2 linked regions of the Rhinolophus ferrumequinum genome follow. The protein of the gene in region 1 purifies or fractionates together with the protein of each later gene. This does not show direct contact. Links are inferred from orthologs where the notes say so. Each region holds a gene or a part of one and is shown on either strand. Other genes may lie near its edges.

Region 1 (10,154 bases):
ATTGTTCATGGCGACTGTCATAGCCCTGCAGAAAGGTCACCATTTCAGCTTCTACCAGTAACATCTCTAGTGTCCACTCCGGTTTCCTCCTGGAGCATGGTCATTTGTCCCCACCCTGCGATTTCAAGGAGCCCCAGGGTGAGGGTGTGGCCCCGTCAGGGTGGGCAAGCGGGCAGCAGTTCAGTTTGCCCAGGGATGGTGATAACCATAGTGGTAACATGGGAGCAAACATTTGCAGAAGGCTGTTTGTGCCCCAATATATATACGCCTGTCCTCCTAGCACCCCTCCAGGTAGGTACTCACTGATGGGGAAACTGAGGCCGTGGCCCAGTCACAGGGCAGTGCCAGTGCCCACCCCCGGTACCCCAGTCTTTTGCAGGGATTTCCTGACTCTCTTGGGAAGGACAGTGTGTGTTGGGGATGGTGGGTGGGAGGTGAGCAGCAGTCCTGGGTCAGCCTCTGGGAGGACCCCAGAGTGTTGGGAGGCAGGGAAGGAGGAACTCGCAGGTCTCACCCCTGCAGAGTGGCCCAGAACCTCCCTGCAGTATGGGCCTTTAGGCAGTGTTCCAGAAAGGAGTGACAGGCACAGAGGCCCCAGGGCCACTCCCTGCCCTGAGTCTGTCAGCAGTGAGGACCAGCTTTTCCCAGCAGGGAGTGCTCACTGTGGTGTGAGCATAGGATGCTCCCGGAGAAAGGAGAGGGGGATGCACAGGCTGTGGGGGTGTCAGGGCTTCCCCTGCCAGGTCATGCTGACGGCGGGGGTCTGCTCTGGAAGGTGGAAGGTCAGCGGGTTCAGCGCAGATGACAGCTGAACTGGCTGCTGGTTTTTCGGGGTTGCATGGAGTGAAGGACAGGGTGCAGTGGGGGGGCTTAAGGCTCAGCTGCGGATCTTTCTTGGCTGCACCGCCCAGCTGGCTGCCTCGCTGACCGTGGTCCTGTCTGTCTGTCCCTCTGCAGGGCCTGATGCCAACCCAGGCCTGGTGCTGGAGCAGAAGCGGGCAGAGGAGGCAGTCATGGCCAGGATGGCTTCCTGCCCAAAGCATCCGTCCCCGATGAGCATGGCCAAAAGCATCTACGTCAACTACAGCTTTGAACATCCTGCCAGCTGTGAGGTTGGGCAGACATCGTGATGCAGCCAGGGCCCCAGCCAGGCTGGAGAGGCAATGAGGACTCCCCGGTGGGAACGTTGACCCCTCCTCCCCCTCAGGGCCCAGGAGAGGCTGTCCCTGTGGGAATGTCCATGACGGGCACCTTCTGGCCAGCAGGTCCCTGATGGGCTCTCAGCCCTGGTAGCAGGGCCCTCATTTCCAAGAAGTTGGCACAGGATAGTCGTCTTCTCCCTGAGACCTGGGTCTCGGGTGTCCAGGAATAAGACACACTTCTTGACAATTGTTCCAGACTCAGAACTCTCCCATAATCGCCCACTTCCTACCCACCCCCCTCCAGCGCTCTGGCAAAAAAGTCCCACTATGGTGTCAGCCTTTAAGACTCTTTAGCGTCACTGAGAACAGACAGCAGGACCCTCAGCCTGGCTGCAGTTTCCGCAGAAGGCCAGGGAGAGGCTTCCTGCTGGTGGGGGAGGGCAGCAGAATGCTCTGGAAAACATACTGTCATGGATTGACCTCACTAGAAATGACACTTGGTTTGGCCTCCAGCTCCAACCATTATTAAGACCTCCAATGGAGGCTGCCAGTGTGTCTGCAAGGCTGCGCGAGCTCCTGGGGACAGGCCAGCCCTCCCACCGCTGTCACATGCCTGGAGCACCGGCCAGGGCCTCAAACCAGCCCAACCATGATCCCGTGAAATGTAGACCGAGGAATGCACCTTGCTCAGTGCGTGCACACTGGTGCTTAATAAATGTCTATTGAGGAGAAATGGTGTTTTATGTCACATGTCTTATTCTGGCTGCCTCTGGGTTTAAGATAATTTTTGTACATTACACAAATACCACATGTGGAAGGGTGATTTGTGGAGATGTTACTTTGTGTTTTCCCCTCCCCTTTTGCAAGAAAGTAGCCAGGCCATCATGTGCCCTTCCTTAGAAGTGACTTTCAGAAGCGGAGGCAACTCCCCCACAAGCAGGAGGCACAGAGCCTGTGGGTCTGGCCAGTGCAGGGACCCGCCGCTGCTCCCTTCCTGTGCAGGGCCCTCAGCTGGGAGAGCACGGAAATATGTGTCTAAATACATGTGGCTACGTGTACATACAGAGAGTTCTATCCGCAGCCATCTGCATCTATATTGGGCTAAACACAAGCTCATTCTGATGCCTCCAGCTCTAACCCACCACCACATGGATCATTCCAGGCTCCTCCCTTGCTTATCTGTAACCAGCCAAGCCAACAGTGAGAAGCCTGGCTTCACCTCCCACACCACTGCCTCAGTTGCTCATTTCCACTGTGCAGATGCACGATTTTCAGAATGGATAACCCTGCGGGAAACGTTAGAATGAAGTTTCTTCGTGCAGTCCCTTGGCCCCGCCCACTCCACTCATTTCCGGTTTACCCAGGTCAGCATCTCCATTCAGTGGGGCTGTCTCATACATTGGTAATAAATAGACTGTTTTGTCACATTCCGCATTCCATTCCGAGCCCCAATCTCTTGATTGCTTAAAATTTGTGCACATTAAGGTCGTTCTCGGTGCTATAAACGTCTCTGGCTTTGGACAATACATGTGCCAGGTGTCCAGCAGCAGTCTCGACTACAACAGCTTCACCCATCCGACTTTTCCTCATACCCAAGCCCTGGCAAACACTGCTCTGATTACCGTTTCCACGACCCTGCCATTTTTCAGGATGTCATGCTGCGTGGCAGCCTTCTCAGACTGGCTTCTACCTCTGAGCAATACGTTTTCAAGATCCACCAACATCATTCTGCTGCTGGGGTGCTCATTCCTTCTTGCTGATGACAGTGTTTCACTGTGTGCATGGACGAGTGTGTTCATCCATTCATCTCTTCAAGGGTGTCTTGGTTGCCTCCAGTTTTTGGCAATTATGAGTAAAGCTGCTATAAACATCTGTATGTTTTCGTGTGGACAAGGTCTTCAGCCCAGTTGGGTGAATACCTAAGAGTGTGATTGCTGGATTGTATGGTAAGAGTATGTTTAGCTTCCTACTCACTTTAAATATTTTATTTACTTTTTGAACAGGGAATGCAAGCACATGGTACCGACTTCGAAGGTGGCCTCCTCTGTTCTGTCCTGTTTCCCGAGTCCCCTCTGCAGAAGCAGTTTCTGTTGACCTCTTGTGATGCTTTCAGATGTCATTCAAAACCTGGAAATACAGCAAGCAGATGGCTGCATGTCCTTCTCAAGTCAGACTGAGGCATTATGTAACAGGCCCATCTCAGGGCTCCCTAATTCTCTAGGCCAGCAGTTCTCAAGAGTATAGTCTGTTGACTCCTGGGCGGTCTCCAAGATCAAAGTAATAAATGTGGTTATTTGCTTTTTCACTGTACAGACATTTGCAATGATGGTACAAAAGCAACAGTGGGTAACACTGCTGGTCTTAGCAGGAATCAACGTTGGTGGTTGTATGTACTCGGGCTGCCATAACAAAGTACCACAGACTGGGTGGCTTAAACAACAGGAATTAGTTTTCCCACAGTTCTGGAGTCTGGAGTCAGGGTTGGTGTCTGGTAAGACCTCTCTTCCTGACTCGGATGCGGCTGAAATGCTGCTGTCTGCACACGCAGCCTTTCTTCTGTGTGTATTCAGGGACACTGTACCTGTGAGTGTGTAAAAGATCCATTCTAAGCAGGACAGACCAATGGATATTGGTGTGACAAAGTAGGAAACATCTATTGATATGTTTTAAATTCCATATTGCACCTAACCTCTAAGAAACTACTACTAGCCGAATTTGGGTGTAGTTTCAAAGAATAATAAAGTTATTTGAAAAGACAATAAAAACAGTCCTCTCATTTCCAGCCGCTGACTGTGAGCTGGGCTTTCTTCATATACATCAATCCCAAGATATCGCTGCAGGGTTCTGGGCAGCAGATGTCAGATCCTGCTGTCTTCTCTTCAGCCAGACGCTGAAGAGATTGAAAACTGTAAAACTATGCTACTCTTTTCACTAAACTTTTCTTGCTTTGAAGAACATTATTTTTTCATAAAAATGTTAACATGTAATGCTTTTCATAGATTAAAAATGAATAATTTAAAATTTTGTTTTAATTTCCAATATGGTAACTATCAATAAGCATAACCCACATGAAGACTACCGGAGTCTTCAGTAGGTTTTAACAGCATAAATGGGTCCTGAGTCTAAAAAGTTTCAGAACCACTTCTCTAGGGCAATTTGAGTTTGAGTTTATTTACAATTCCTTAGAATCCATACACCATGAAGATATATGTTGTTAACTTATAGATCTGAGTCGTTGAGATGCGAGTCATTTCCTATCTACTAGAAAAGGTAACCTTCGGTTTTACCATCATGTAGGACACCAGCTAGCTTTGTATCCAACCCAACAACCTGGCTGTTTTCTCAGTAAGGACCCAGTTCCTCCCAATGCTGCGAACCAGCTTTATCACGTCACTGGTGACTTCGTTAATTAAACTGTTGAATAAAATCTTTGACAGTTTTTAACTTTTGTACTTGGACAACACGTGGGACAGGTGTATGTACACTATGCACACGCAGGTTTCCCAATGATGGCACACCAGACTGTTGCGCACCTTTTCCACGCAGCACTCGGGCACGTACGCACTCTAAGTTCTTCCTTCTACTTACGACGCCACCTTGCATTTCACCCACTGTCTGTCGTTAACGGGACACATGCCACCCGCACGCACGCACGTTCCTCCTCCCACCCATCAGCGCAAGGCTCGCGCGGTCGCGCTGGGAAACCAGGGATCGGGACACCCGGGCGGTAGCGCGACCCACAGACCACATAACAGGACCGGGCCACGTGGTGCTGCGTCCGCCGCACTCTTCCGCCCGTTTCCAACATGGCCACGAGGCGCCCTCAGTCGCGCAGCCCCTGGCCCTCTGGCGTCTAGGAGCCACTTCGGGGCCCAAGTGCACTCCTCCGCGAGGGAGCCCGGGAACAGGCGGGGCGGCGGGGGAGGGGCCAGCGGCGAGACCGCCCAAGCGCAGCGCAGCCGCCGGGGCCGAGCGAGCGCGGACCGGAAGTTTCGCGGGTGCGCCCGCGGCGGGGCCGTTACCGCGGCGCGCCGGAAGTGGCCGTGGGCCGGCGTCCGGGCCGCGCCTGCAGTGAGCGAGCTGTCCTCCTGCCGGCGACGCCATGGAGCCCGGGGCGGCCGAGCTGTACGACCAGGCCCTGCTGGGCATCCTGCAGCACGTGGGCAACGTCCAGGACTTCCTGCGCGTGCTCTTCGGCTTCCTCTACCGCAAGACCGACTTCTACCGCCTGCTGCGCCACCCGTCCGACCGCATGGGCTTCCCGCCGGGGGCCGCGCAGGCGCTGGTGCTACAGGTGACGCGCGCCGGGCGGGCGGGCGGGGTGTGGGGCGGGCGGTGGGAGCCCCGCCTCCGGGCGCCCGGATCCCCGGGAATTGCCGACCCTTGCGAGTCCGCCCTTCGCTCCGCTCCCGGCCTCAGTTCCCCCTCTGGCGCTTCCCCGGACTCTCCTCCTGGGGCCGGGGCTGCGAGTAAGCAGAGACGCTGGTCGCATATCAAGTTGCTCCTGTGTGGGAGCAGGACTGGCTCTCGACAGCCTGGCTGACACAGGGCGCACTTGGGTGTCAGAAGTAGCACACCCCCGCTCAGGGCCAGCTTGGCTTTCGCAGCCCAGGACCCCTGGAGGTGCCAGGGACTGCCAGTCAGGGAATGAAAACGAGCACCTTGACTCCCCAAACCACAGACTGGAGGAGGAAGGGAGACTGTGGCGATTGATGGGTGTGGTCCCCTTGTTGGAAATGGGTCAAAGACAGCACATTGGAGCGTACATCTGTATATCCCAGGTTACGTTTATTGTATATTTGAGGTCCCGTGAACCCTCCCTGAACCTGACTAGGTACCTTGGAGTGTAGTAAGCAAGTCCTTGCTGCTCCTGTTTACACTCAGCTGAAACAGGCAGAGGTGCACTGTGGTTTGGGTGTTTAAGTAATGGTCTCTCCTTGTGACACTTGTTATAGTTAAGAAGGAAAAGCACAGGCAGTAACAACTGTGCAAGGCCAATTGTGTGACAGCCATGGAAGGAAAGGAATAGAAAGGATGGTTTGGAAGTCAGAAAGGGGAGGTGGGACTGTGATGGGATGAAAGTGGGTCTTCAGTTGAGCATTGAGCCTTTTGGTAGGAACCTGAGAAAATTGAAACGCAGGTGGTACCTCCCACAGTCCCCTAGCACTTTACAGTTTATACAGTGCTTTCGAATGTGACCTGAAGTCTTGCTGCAACCTGTGAGTTGCTCAGGAATTTCCCTGGTGCCTGAGGAAGAAACCAAAGCTCACAATGTTTTAGTAACTAAAGATAATACAGTGTAATGAGGGGTGGAGTTGAGTGTCAGTGTCAGAACTGAAGGCTCTTCCTCATCCTTCCAGTGGCCTTGCGCCATCTGACTGAGGGTTCCTAGCAGGCCCTGTAACAGTTTGCTAGTTTCGTGGATATTCCTGTGAAGTAGATGCGGTTGATTTTTTTGGCAGGTGAGGGTGCTAGCTCAGCAAGGCTAGGTGATTGACCAGACTTGTAGAGCTGGAACTCAAAACTTCGTTTTTGTGATTCCAGATGTTTCTGCTCCATTATTTAACCATTCCACGCATGGTAGGGTGGGAATGCTGGGATGTAGGGTGAGTGCAGCTTGCAGAAAGGATGTGGAAGAGAAAGAAGCAGTTATTACGGCGGGGGTTTTACAGGCCAGGACGCTATCTTACTTAATGCTAACACAACCTGAAAGGCTGGGCTTTGCCCTTGTTTTACAGATGAACCGACAGGTAACTCATTTATCTGGTATCTATATGTAAACCTACTATGTTCACGGTTAAGACTTGGTGACCAGTTTAAGTGGAGGTGAGAGCAGAGCAGGACAGGGCAGGGATGAATCAGAGATGACCCAAGGTTTCAAACTTGGGTGGGTGGAGTAACGATAATGCATTAACTGTACTGTCACTTGAGTTTGGGGAAAAGCCTAGTTTTACACAAGTTAATTTGAAGTCGTAGACAGAAGCCCCTGCCCCCAGGCTATTGGGTTTGGGACTGGACCTCGGGGAGCCAGAGACCTGAGTGGTCTGAGGGAGCGAAGAGCTGAAGGTGGAGGGTCGGGAAGGGAGAGGAGAAGCAGGAAGCTGTAGAGTGGGAGGGGGTGGGGTAGTAAGTGTCACAGAAACTGAGGGGACAGTTTCCAGCAGAGGGTGGAGAGGGGTTCCGTTTCTGGAAGTGGTTCCCACCCGTTAATATTGCCCAGGAAGTTTACCAAAGCAGACATTCCCTGGGTGTCTTGGTTGGAGGGTCAGGGTGACTCCTGGGAGCTGTCCCTTAACTGCAGGGGCGTGTGGCAGGACATCTGTGAAGCCGGGTTCAGCACCGCACAGTTTTGTTGTGGGTGGGACACCAAGGTACTGAGTGAGGACAAGTTTCCACTTATAAAACAGCTAAACCGTGGGATGAAACGCACAGCTTAGGGTGGTAGTCAGTGCTATTGTGACAGCATGCCACGTGACAGGTCATGGCAGTGGTCGTGGGGATCACCGAGGGTCCAGCTGTCAGTCGCTGCGTATATAGCTGAAATGAATAGGACGCTGTCACCTGTGCCTCAAAAAGAAAGAAAAGATGCCGGGTCAGAGCTAGGGACTTGGTACCACTCAGTGTCACCTGCCAGTGGTATTGGATGGCCTCCTGACCTCACTGTGCTCGTCAGCCCCTGACTTGATGGCAAAAGAGTACTTCCTGTGGCCACCCCACCTGAGAGGAGGTGCTTGGGGTCTCTTCAGACCACAGGCAAAGGGGGTGTGGATGGGAGTGTTGGGGTGCTCCATTCGGGAACTCAAAAGCGTTCCCTGATAATTTGGGGGGTGGCGTAAAACTGGTCAGACTTTTCCTCCTAATTCTGAGGGCTTGCACAGCCTGCATGCGCAGCCAAAGGCCCCTTATCAGGAAAGATGCAGGCGAAAAGTGCGTTTCTCTCCGTGATATGTTAGTGTGTTCTAAGAAAATAGTTCAGAATGACATTTTTGTTTGTTTTCGTTGATGCTGTTTATCTGGAAGTCTCTGGCCAGCCTGCGTGGGAGAAGCCCGCCCAAGAGAGTCAGGAAAACTGGCTCCATTTGTCCCTCACGGAGCTCGTGGGGAGATCTTGGGCCAGTAACTCTCCCCTGTCAGTTGAGAAGGTTGGTTGGAGGTCATAGGTGGCTCTTCCGGCCCTGTGGTCCGCGATTCTAGAATGAGTGAGAGCTGGGGGTGCTGGTGAGCAGAGGCAGGGCTGCCGTGGGACCATCAGGCAGGGTCCGCGGGGTCCCGGCTGTTAGAGGAGCCCTGCTGTTGCTGTTTTTGTGGAGTTAAGATGAAGGTCTGGGGTGTCACGAGCATGAGCAGCTCCAAGGGCAGAGGGTCAGGGTTACAAATGAGGTTTCGGAAGGAGGAGCAGGTCGGCATCGTCTCCTGTCTTCAGCCTCAGGCCTTTGTCTCCCCGCTGCGTCTATCAGTGGTTTCCTCTCTCAATGCAGGACCTCTGGCAGGCAGCTGCCCTCGGAGCCCGACTCCATTGCCTTTGAAACAGTAGTGTTCCTTTTCTCGGCACTGTCATGGGTCTTGAGAGACTTTGCCAAACATTTGGCGTGGCTCGGTGTGTTCGTACCTTCTTCAGTCTGTCCTCTGCTCGGTGCACAGGACACGATTATTTAATGTCAGGGTATGTCCTGCCCTTTGGAAATGGACTCCTGCCCACTGGTAAAACATTTGTGGTTTTTCTTTTATCATAAGACAACTTTTTTTAAGAGCAGTTTTAGGTTTACAGCAAAATTGAGGGGAAGGCCCAGAGTCCCCACAGCCCCTCCCACATGTAGCCCCCCCCAGAGTCATGACCTTTGATACAGTTGATGAACCCACACTGACATGTCATTGTCACCCCAACCAGCAGCTTTAGAGTCACTCTGGGTTGTGTACGTTCTGTGGGTTTGGACAAACGTATTGTGTCACGTGTCCATCATTACAGTGTCACACAGAGTGGTTTCACTGCCTTGGCGTCCTCCATGCTCCCCCATTCATTTCTCCCTCCCCCCTAAACGCTGATCCTTTTACTGTCTCTATAGTTTTGCATTTTACAGAATGTCACATAGTTGGAACCATTACAGTGTGCAGCCTTTTCAGACTGGCTTCTGTCATTTAGTAACATGCACTTGAGGTTCCTGCGTGTCTTTCCGTGGCTGACAGCTCGTCTCTGTAGTGCTGTTAACGTCCTTCTGTCTGGATGGGCAGTTTGTCCACCCACCCACTGAAGGACATCTCTGCTCCTAGTTTGGAGAGTAGTGAATAAAGCTGCTCTAAACATTCGTGTGTGGGGTTTTGTGTGGGGTTAGTGTTCAGTGCTATTGGCAAATACCAAGGGGCACGGTCGCTGGGTAACTGGCAGGTCTGCTCCCACCGTGCTCCTAGGTGAGGTCTCCCAGCCTCCTGCCTTCAGCAGCCACAGGGACTTTTTCTTGAGGACCTCGCCTCTGGAGGCTGTGGTTTCCCGAGGAACACGGGCCTGCCTTTCGTTGAAGGTCTGACCAGACCCCTTCCTTCCAGGAAACCCCTCCATGTTTCTCTCATCAGCAATGCTCGCTTGCCTCATTGTGAAGGCCTGGTGGGTGTGACCTCAGCCTCTGCCGTCAGGTCGTCATGTGTGGGTCTGTCCTGGCTGCACTTCCAGGGTTATGTGTGCCCTTGGACATGTTTGGGCTATGTTTCATGTGCACTTCCTGGGGGTACAGTCCCAGCACTTTTATGGGCGTGACTGTGTCCCAGGAGAGACGGAGGCAGGGCTGGTTTACCTTCTGCGTTTGGAGAGGGTGGGAGCTGTCAGTAGGAGGCCGTGCTTTGCGCACTGCCAGCACATCCTAGAGGTTTGTTGGGCTGAACTCCCAGCCTTCGGAGACCCAGGCCGCCGAGCCAGAGAGGCCGCTGCCAGCCGCGCACGGTGCCTGCTGCCGTCCTGCGAGTGAACTTCAGCTCCATCTCCTCTGCCATCTGCCGTCTGAGCTGTGGGCCTGAGCAGCG
Region 2 (10,154 bases), on another chromosome or scaffold:
CACCAGATGGGAGAATCTTCCTTGTGTGTCTGCCTAAAGGACAAAAATGTTTTCAGGTTCCTCCAGAGGCAGTGGCATGGCAGCCAGTTTGAAAAATGTGAGGCTACCCCTTTCTCCACATGATGACAGTCCAGAAGATCTTCAGCCTCTTCAGCACAAACAGCTGAAATTCCTCATTGGGTCCGAGCAGCAGCTGGGAGATGTAGAGACCAGTTTGGTGCAGATGAGGGAGGAAAAGACCATGCTGGGCAATGAGGATTCCAGCCAGGCTGTCAAGAGGTATCTCCAAAGAACCAGTTTCTATCTGAAAAAGGAAGTGTACAGCTGCGGCGCCTATTATTATCAGCTGGACGTGAAGAAATGAAAATGGTTAAGTGCTTTCTGTGTATCATCAAGCTCACAGAAAACCCAGGGAGTTGGAAAGGAGATGTAGGCCCAGTCTTTCCTGGTTGAGTCTTGTCGACTAAGCCTTATCTACATATAAGCCTCAAGGTTGTAAATAGTCACTCAATTCAAAGACTTATTTTCTACTTCAGTTGTAAAATGCATTGTCATTTTTGGCCATTGTTTTTCTATAAAAAGAGGAAACTCCCTTTGAATCAAGAGAAAATGCATTTCTACTTTGTAATAATTAGAATTTATCTACTTATCTAGGATGATTGTTGTATTTACCAAATTTATTCTTCATATTATTTTATGGTCAACTTGGTCTTGTTTTCATTTGCCTTGGAGGTGTAAAATCTATACCTTAAATGTAAGCTCTTACTCATACTCTTATTAAAGATCTTATTAAAGATACTCTTATTAAAGATACTCTTATTAAAGATACTCTTATTAAAAATCTTAGTAAAGATACCCTTAACCTATAATCTGCCTTCAAATCCAAAAGGAACATAGTTTTATTCCATTCATTGATTTATAAAATATTTTGAAGTATTCTGCTGTAGGTAATTTACCTGTGTTTGTAAATATATTGGTAAATATAAAAAGACATTACTTTCTTTAATGGAGCACTCTGGCAGAGAAGACAGGCCTTAAAGAGTAAGGAGGGCCCGCCGGTGGCTCAGGTGGTTGGAGCGCCATGCTCCTAACGCAAAGGTTGCCAATTCGATTCCCAGCCAGTGAGTTGCGCCCTCTACAGCTAAGATTGTGAACAGCTCTCCCTGGAGCTGGGCTGCCGTGAGCAGACGGAGGTCAGGTCGGTATGAGCTGCCATTGGGCCAGCATGAGTGGTTGGCAGCCATCGTGAGCGGACAGCAGCCGGAGAGAGCTGCCGTGAGCTGCCGTGAACTCCCGTGAGCGGTCGACCGAGGACCGCTGACTAAATGCCTTGGGGTGGGGGGCAGTGCAAGGCTCATAACACCAGCCTGGGTCAGGGAGCTGTGTCCTACACAACTAGACTGAGAAACAATGGCTTCAACTGTGGGGGGGGGAGGTGAAAGAAGGGGGGGAAAGATATGAAATAAATAAGAAACAAGGTTTTTATACTATGCAGGTAATGATTCTTTACAGGTGATGATTCTTTAAGGTGAAAAATACAAAAGAATCCACTCAAAAAACTAAGAATCAAGGAGAGTAATGACAGAAAACCAAAATGCTAAAACCATGTATTTCTTACTATTGCAATAAAGTTTGGAGTATATGAAAACAAAATCCCATTTGAAACAGCAATCTATCTAATAAAGACAACTTGAATAAAAGATCATTGAAACGGAAGAAAAATACCCTAAATTGCCCATATTATAAATAAAATTTTATTATAATTTTAAAAAGCTTAAAAATTCAGTAAGAAAGTGAAGATTATTCAAAAAGTGGTGATGGAACAACTAGATAATTTGAAAACATATATTAAATTTTATACCAGAAGTCTAGTAAAAAATCATCTCCATAATAATAACAAAATACTGGGATAATTATACCATCTCATGATGGGGAAAAAATAAGCCAAGAAAGCAGAAAAAATGACAAAGGAAAAACTAATTTCACTATATTACAAAAAAAAAGTGTATGTTAAGACATAATCAAAGAAAAAATGATAAAATATTTGCTGTAAATAAAAGTTAATAGTCTTACTAAAACAAAGATTAATATTGTTAATATAAAAGTAATTTTTATAAATTTGTAAGAAAATTCATCTCCATTTCAACCAGAAAGCTACTTAAAGGAGACAAATAGCAAATGCCACCATAGCAGGTTAAGAATTAGTACTGACAAAGGGCTAAGATAAAGGACAAGGAATGTGGTATCAGTACTACATAAAAAAACAGCAAAATTATCCCTAAAAGGTCAAAATGCAAAAAAGACAAATTTGATCTCAAAAATTAACTGAATTGGCCCTGCCTTTGTAAAACTGTGATTGAGAAAAAAGAAGAAATTCAAGCAAATGCCAGTTAAATTATATTTATTATATAAAGAGACCCTATAACTTGGTATGAAAAACAACGCAACTCCAATAGGTATTATTACAAAGGCAAAGTACATGAACATATTTGCTCAATGAGGAAACACAGCTACTCACAAACTCACTAATAATGAAATGATTGGGATGCCATTACTCATTCAATGCACAAGGTTAACAGCAATTTCTACTTTTTATATTTTCTAAATGTACTCAAATGTTTTTAGTAAAAAATTGAATCATTAAAAAAAAAAAAAAAACACAGAAAGTATGAAAACTTCTGCCAGTGCAGAAATCATAAAAAGCATTAAAATGAATCAACACTTGTATGGGCAGTAAGATTCAGATCCCTGGAAGCCAATTGCATTTGTCTTGGTTCCTGAGTTTTATTATGAGATCATCAATAAAGAGAAGGTTGTTCCTGATTTACACTATGACAATCTCCCAAGTATAGAGATATACATATACATATATATGGTAAAAGTATGTATGTAAATTTTCTCTTCAGGTAGACATTCCAGGAAAGTACTTCTTGAAAATCACTCACTATAGAGGATTCCTATGGTTCTCAACCAGTAGGGATGCCAGGATGCCCTTGGTATTGAAAAGGCTGAAGATCTACTTTAGTATTGCCTGCAAGACAGCAATGTCCTAGGTTTTCTGTAGCTGGCTCCTTAGGGAATCTGAAGTTGGTGCTGTTCTTTAGAAATAGCCAAAAGGACATTTTTCTGATTTGATGCAGAACAGAGTACATTTACTGCTTGCTCAGCTCATAGCCTTGAGGCAGATCACACAAAGTTCAGGATGCACAAGGGCAGGAGCAGCACCAGAGCAACCACCGCAAATCAAATAATCTTGTTAGAATGACTTAAGTTGGGAGACTGAACTTAAAATCCTATAGCTCTGTTCAGCATATTTCTTTGCTTTTATAGTATCGTAAGTTTTACTGAACACAAAGGTAGAAAATAGCAGAGCCTAAATTTAGAGCAAAAGCCAAGTCTCTGAAACCTGAACTTTGCTAAATAATATGTATAAAAGCAACTCTACGGAAAATAATATACAGGCAGAAAAAGTCGTATGTTTCATCTGCAGTAACGATTTAGTCAAATGACAAACTTGGTTTGTCAATTTACTATGTAGTGCTTCTATCTCAATTCAGTATGACTATACAGACATTTATTCTCTGCTATTGAATTCCCATTTGAATAGAAATAGCTGCTAGATAAAAGAAAATAATTTAAATTTAGAAACAATTTCACTATGCCTGAAATTCCAATTTAAAAATTATATATGTGTATGTATGTATATACATATGTATGTGTGTGTGTGTGGGGAGAGAAGTCTCTCCTCCCTCTCTCTAGCGATACAGACTTAGGGCTATACTGTTTTTTCAAGTTAGTATTTTTAAATTTACTATTTCTCCTTTCTGCCTAAGAAATTTCACACATTCTGAGTGCACCAACACAATCTGGTGAGTTGGCAGCTATGTCAAAAACTATGAAAAAAGGGAGGTAGCTAATAATACTTGGCGACTTTTTGTTTAATATTTTAGGTTAGAGCTGGCAGCCTCCCTTTGATGTTTTGCAGTCAAAAGATGAAAACTATCAACTTTGAAGCATAATGAACATAATTATACATTTACTACAATCACCTACAATTTGACTTACACAACACCACAAAAGGACATCTAACCTTTTTTTTTCACAGATCTTTTTACATTTTTTAAAACAGCTGGCTGTGTTGAATACATTTTCAGAATGCATTTAACCATTTGATAAACATACTAAGTCAAACAATACAAATAACATCAGTTACCTTTTTAATCTAATAACTGTACTAATCATTGAAAGAAGATACAGCTGAGGGGGAATGATAAGATCGTCCATATGCACTGCAAAAACATTAAGACCTTAGTCCTAAGAATGATCTGAAGGTGCTGAAAGAGGTGATTCTCTAGAAGGTGACCCAGGGTTTTCTTCAGGTGGAAAAACTGTGAGAGTACAAGCTCGAATGCCACCAAGTGACTCTGGAAGGTCAAAAACTTTATGCCACTCATCCTTTTCTGGGTCATATTTCTGGACAATTTCTACCATACAACGATTATTCCAAGAATATCCACCTACAACATAGATTTTATTTTCAAAGACGGCAACTCCAACATCACTTTGACCCCTTAACATCGCAGCAATTGGTGTCCACTGGTCAAGGGTTGGTGAATAGTATTCACAGCTTAGTACATCATCATAATCACTTGTTCCTCTGAAGTGATTGCCACCAATGACATAGAGCTTGTCTCCAACTGTACACATGCAATGCAGACCTCTGACTGTAGTCATTGGAGCCTTCTGTGTCCATTTGTCTGTGTCTGGATCAAAACACATGAGCTCGTTTTGGAAAGTGTCATGAGTAATTCCTCCTGAAATATACATTAAGCCTCCATACACTGTTCCAGCATGGCCATAGTGGGGTTCACTCATTTTTGCAACATAGCTCCACTCATTCATTCTTGGGTTGTAACATTCTACTGTGGCCAGTTCACCAGCTGCACTTCGCCCACCAACAGCATACAGATGTCCTTTGAGGGCACTCAAGTGGAAGAACGTGCGCTTTTCATTTAATGAGGCAACCTGCATCCATTTATTATACCGTGGATCAAATCTGAAAACTGTATCAACAGCAGTTTTTCCTTTCGTATCATAATTACTTTGACCACCAACTACATAAAGAAAGTTTCCAATGACAGCAATGCCATGCTGGTAACGAGGAGCATCCATAGGGGCTAAAGATCTCCACTCTTGTGCCCTTTCATCATACATCCTTAATTCTTTACTGACAACCAGCTGCTGCCTCAGAACTCCTCCTAATGTAACCAAATGTGTTGAGTCCGATCGAATGGCAGTTCTATCTGACTGCATCACTGGCTGCATATATGGCATCATTTGGTAATTGCTAGCTTCCAAAAGCAAATTCACACAGGTATTGTCCGTTCTCATGAAATCCACTGTCTGCACATAATTGATGAGGTCCTGTGGTGTCATCAGTGGAAATCGAATATTCTTCATTAATTTTGCAGCATAATCCATTCGAGGGTCTTCCAACCTTAGCCAGCGACAGGCAGCCTTGAAGAGCTCAAGTTCCGTACAGTGCTTAAGACTATTACTGGAAAGCACAAAGGCAAGCCGTTCAAAAGGGAGTTTTAGAAACTCCCCAGTACTCAATAATGCAGGAAAATTCTTCAGGATAAAATTATTGACATATTTATCCACTTCTATAAGGTTATAAGTGTTAGCTATTCGCCCAACTTCAACACAGTTATCTAAAGAGACTCCTGAAATAAGAAACACTTTACAGAAGTCCAAAACAGGTAAAATTTGTAAAAAGCTGGCAGCTTCAAGTGTGTCCTGAAGATTGTCCATATTAAGAGAAAGTTTTGCAGTATAAATAAAATCAATTATTTTCTTCAGACCAACCTTGTTCACGCCATGAAGCTTAATGCACATTAAATCTTGTTCTTTCATTCCACCTGTAAACATAGCTTTGAAATAATCACTAGCAGACGCCATCATAGCTCTGTGAACAGGGAAAATTTCATCTCCATCACCTGGTACCAAAGTCACATCACAAAGCAATCCTTCTATTCTAAGCTGATCAAAGCCTTGCAATACCACCGAACTGTGCGTATTGCTGGTAAAAAATCGTGTGGTTCCTGCCTTGCAAGGCTGTAAATGGGCGGAAACGCCCATTTCGCCGTTACCAAGAGACACTTTCATGGGAAAGCCTCTTGCACAAAGATGCCAGAGAAAGAAGTTAAAACCGGAATGCTTTCAAGGAACCGAGGATGTCCAAAGCGCAGGAGATCCGCTTTCCTTGTCAAGGGCAAGCAGTCACCGTGGCACCCTTCTGAACACACCAATCAGTCATCCACTTAAAAGGGTTCTGCAGCAGGACCACAAAGGGCTGCGGACATCAAATCTGATTGTTATGCAGATGATTCATCATCTGAAGGCAGTTAATTGACCCGGTTCACCTTGTCTGGCCTGCGCTGCCGCTCCTCCAGCAGTTCCGCTCCAGGCCAAGGGGGAGGCACCGCCACGTACTGCGGCTCCGCGGCTCGCTCGCCGGCGAGGCCGGGCACCTCAGCGAGCAGCCTGCTGCGTCCTCCGCCGTCACTAGAGCTTCGTCGTGGCCCGGGCTTTCTTGGAGCAAGGGCCTGGAACACGGGTCTGGAACACGGGCCTTAGCCCCCGACGCCCAGCCGGTCCTTTCCGGAAAGGCCTAGTCCCAGGATCCCCCGGGCTAGGAGCGGCCGCAGCACTTACTGCGGCTGCGCGGCGGCGCGGCCGTCCAACTCGCCAGTGGGCGGGGGCGGGGGGAAGGGGGAGGAAGTGCGCTGGGGACTGGAAGGGTAGGGGGCGGGGGAGCGGAGCTGTGCCGGGTGGGCGCGAGCCGGCCCTCTTTGGGTCATATTCTAGGTGGGACTAAATAGGCCAGCACGTAGGTTATGCTGCACGTTTGGTATAAACTGCACAGCTTCTGAGCGCTCCACCCCCCACCCCCACCCCAGGCACACTTTTTGTTTAAGGTTTACACTTCCTGGCTTCTGCCCTTTGAATAACAATGAATTACGGCTTTTATATAAATTGAAGTAAAACATAGCAGAGGAGGGCGGGGGGAGGGGGGGAACGATGCTTACAAGTTTTCCTCTTTAAAAGACTTTTTCATTTATATCCCACACCATTTAATTGACACTTCAATTATAACTGTTTTCAATCATTTAAAACACATATCATCTGTCTCTTTAAATACCAAATTGTGACTGTGCTATGTAAATAATATAGCCTGTATTTTTGCCTTCCAGTGGAATTCCACCATCAGTAATTCTCCATGCTTTTGTTTTCCATTCAAATTTTTAAACGGCTACACAATTGTCCGATAACTATACATACCGGTGCTGTCCTTTCCTTTGCCCATTATTTGTTCCTGAATTCTTGTCCTCCATTGTTTTATAGAATCTGTAATTTACAGAATCTGGGCACAAAACTTTCCCATTTTGGGATAAATTCTAAGACATAAATATTTCTTTCCAAAACTCACAATAGATGTTTTGAATGTGCTTTTCCCTTCTATTTATCTTTCCTTTTATAGATATTTTATTAACTTGAATTTCTTTAATTACTAGTAAATTTAAATTTGTCATATGAATAAATGTATACTTTGACAAAATTCTTCCAACATTTTCCTCAGTTGGAAGTTACAACTGTCTTTTAAATTCTTCTAGTTTCTTTTATGCATATGCAAACTAATCAGAGTATAGCTATATTCTTTTTACACTCTCCCAATTTTTATGTAAAAGATACTTACATACCATACTCACTGTTCTGCACCTATCTTTTTTTCACTGGAAGATCTTCCCATATAATAGAGAACTTTTTTTTTTAAGTTTATTGGGGTGACAATTGAGAGAACTTTTTAATCTTTTTTAAGCAGTTCTATTTTTACCCACGAATAGGTGTGTCATAAATTATTTACTCATGGACAGTTAGCTGTTCCAGTTGTTTTCTGTTGTTTCTGAAGGATGGCAGCAAGATCCCAAAGGCTCAGACCACTGCTATCCTCCACCAGATGTCTCAGCAGATCTTCAATCTGTTCAGGATAAGAGGTTGGCTAGGATGAAACTGTACTGGATAAATTCTTTACTGGACTTTATCAGCATCGGGAAGTCCTAGAGACCTGCTCGATGTCTGAGTTGGGGATGGAAGCACTCTCCTGAGCTATAAAGACTCCATACTGGCCCTGAAGAGGTACTTCCAAGGAATCAGTCTCTGTGTGGAAGAGAAAACAGAGCTGCTGTACCTGGGAAGTTGTGAGAGGAAGAAATCATGCTATCTTTCTCTTTATTATCAAGCTTAACAAAAATGACTAAGAGCTAAGGAACCAGACCCATGCTCTTCACGAAACTATTATGGACAGATATAATTCATCATACTCCCAAATGTTTAGCTACTTCAAAAGACTGGTTTTTTTTTTCTGCCTGCATCATGAAATAAGTTGAATCAAATTTGTCACAACACTTATTGGTAGTGTTACTGAACCACCTCCCAAAATTCAGGTCCATGTCATTGATGTGCTAGTAAACAAACATTGAGACACTGGAGCTTGGAGATACAGAAAGGTTTATTCCATTTGTCCAAAGCAAGAGGATGAGAGAGCAAGATCTCTCAACTCTGTCTTCCTCAAAAAGCAAAAGTAGGGAGTTTTTATGTGGCTAGGGAGCAGAGGAGGGGGAATTTCATGGAACCAAGGGGAGAGTCTGTATTTCTTTAGTCATAGATAACATTTTGTGCAACCAGACTTCTGGGTGTCAGCAGCTGGTTGTAACTTTTATTCCTTCTGTAAAATAAACTCATAAATTCTTCTTGTGACCCTGGAGTTATCTCCTCTTGCTTGACAAAGAAACAGTACGTCAGCAACTTAAAATTATATTGTGAGAACGAGATGAGCTGGATTGAAGAACCAAGATTCTGCAAAAACATCTCATAATTGTGCATCAGTGACGTTCTCTTTAAAGCAAAAAGCAAAAATTGGACATCTTGTGACCATCACCATTGTTTAAGGTATCATTGTTTTGTGCTTAACTAGCTGTATTTTCTATAAAAGTGTACTTTTGAACATTTCTCCTGGAACTTGCTTTACAGGCAGGCCTTAATCTTTGACTATACGCTGTGTGACAACCAAAGCAATTGAAACATTTAGTTAAAGCCTATACCTATATCTTTAGAGTCTCTGATCTACCTAAACATGTTAATTGTTAACTGATGGTTTCAGTAGTATTAAGCCACTCTAAGTTAAAGCATCCAGTTCCTAGGGCGCCCATCCTAGGTGGCCTTTTTAATGTGCTTACTCGTATGTACTTAACTATCTATTTTACTATATTTATTGTATTTCAATATTTGCTTCCATATCATGTTCACCTGTACATTGTGCTAATTACATAAAAAGCATTCACCTTTATATTTTTTAATTATTCTCTTAATTATTTCAAGTTTTACTTTCAAATCTTTTTTGAAATTTTATTTTAGGTATTTTTTTAAGGAGGGTACAGCTCACAGTTGCCTATGCAGGGATCAAACCAGCAACCTTGGTGCTACCTGCACCACGCTCTAACCAACTGAGCCAACCGGCCACCCCTTCAAATCTTTTTAGGTATGTTTATTTTTAACCAATGCCAAGACTGATTTTGCAACCCCAGTTGAAGGATGGAGTTGAATTTCATTCATTCATTTCATTCAAGCTATATGTAACACTTGAATCTAAATCACAGGCTCTACACTCCCTTCACAGGATAAAAAGGTGAAGAAAGAAAACAAAGGGACAGCTGTCTTGGAATCATAGAATGTGTAAGCTTCAGTTGCTAAGGAAGAAAGAGGAAACAAAAAAATTATAAAGTACAGGTTTACTTTCTAGAATGACTGCCAAAGGCTTGGCATGACTCTCTGCCTTCACTGTGTGCCTCGGGAGCTCCTGAGTGTGTACAGGAGAGCAGAGGCTTAGCAGCTAGGACACCTCAGAGCAGAAGAGAGTTGATTGCAATGATACGTCTCACATTCTAACCCAGTTTCCCCAAGCCGTTAGTCTTGAGGTTCCCCACACTCTTTCGTTATAAAGTTAGCCAACAATTGACGCTTGGGCTCAACTTGCTTCTGAAACAGAAAAACAGTGTGGTGGGTAAAAGACGGCCACAGCTTCTTTAACACTC

Evidence for each region.
Region 2: the proteins of NUDCD3 (region 1) and KLHL9 purify together in Homo sapiens (co-immunoprecipitation; 3 studies listed by BioGRID and IntAct, with this or other methods). This does not show direct contact. The link is inferred for Rhinolophus ferrumequinum from reciprocal best matches to the Homo sapiens genes NUDCD3 and KLHL9.

Annotation. Positions count from the first base shown.
Region 1 is NC_046303.1:274,222-284,375, reverse strand, and holds the start of NUDCD3 (nudC domain-containing protein 3), read left to right. Parts: upstream 1-5,110; 5' UTR 5,111-5,244; coding exon 5,245-5,436; intron 5,437-10,154. Other genes in the region: NPC1L1 (NPC1-like intracellular cholesterol transporter 1), read left to right, coding at 958-1,130.
Region 2 is NC_046295.1:18,598,359-18,608,512, reverse strand, and holds KLHL9 (kelch-like protein 9), read right to left. Parts: upstream 6,705-10,154; 5' UTR 6,169-6,704; coding exon 4,315-6,168; 3' UTR 3,336-4,314; downstream 1-3,335.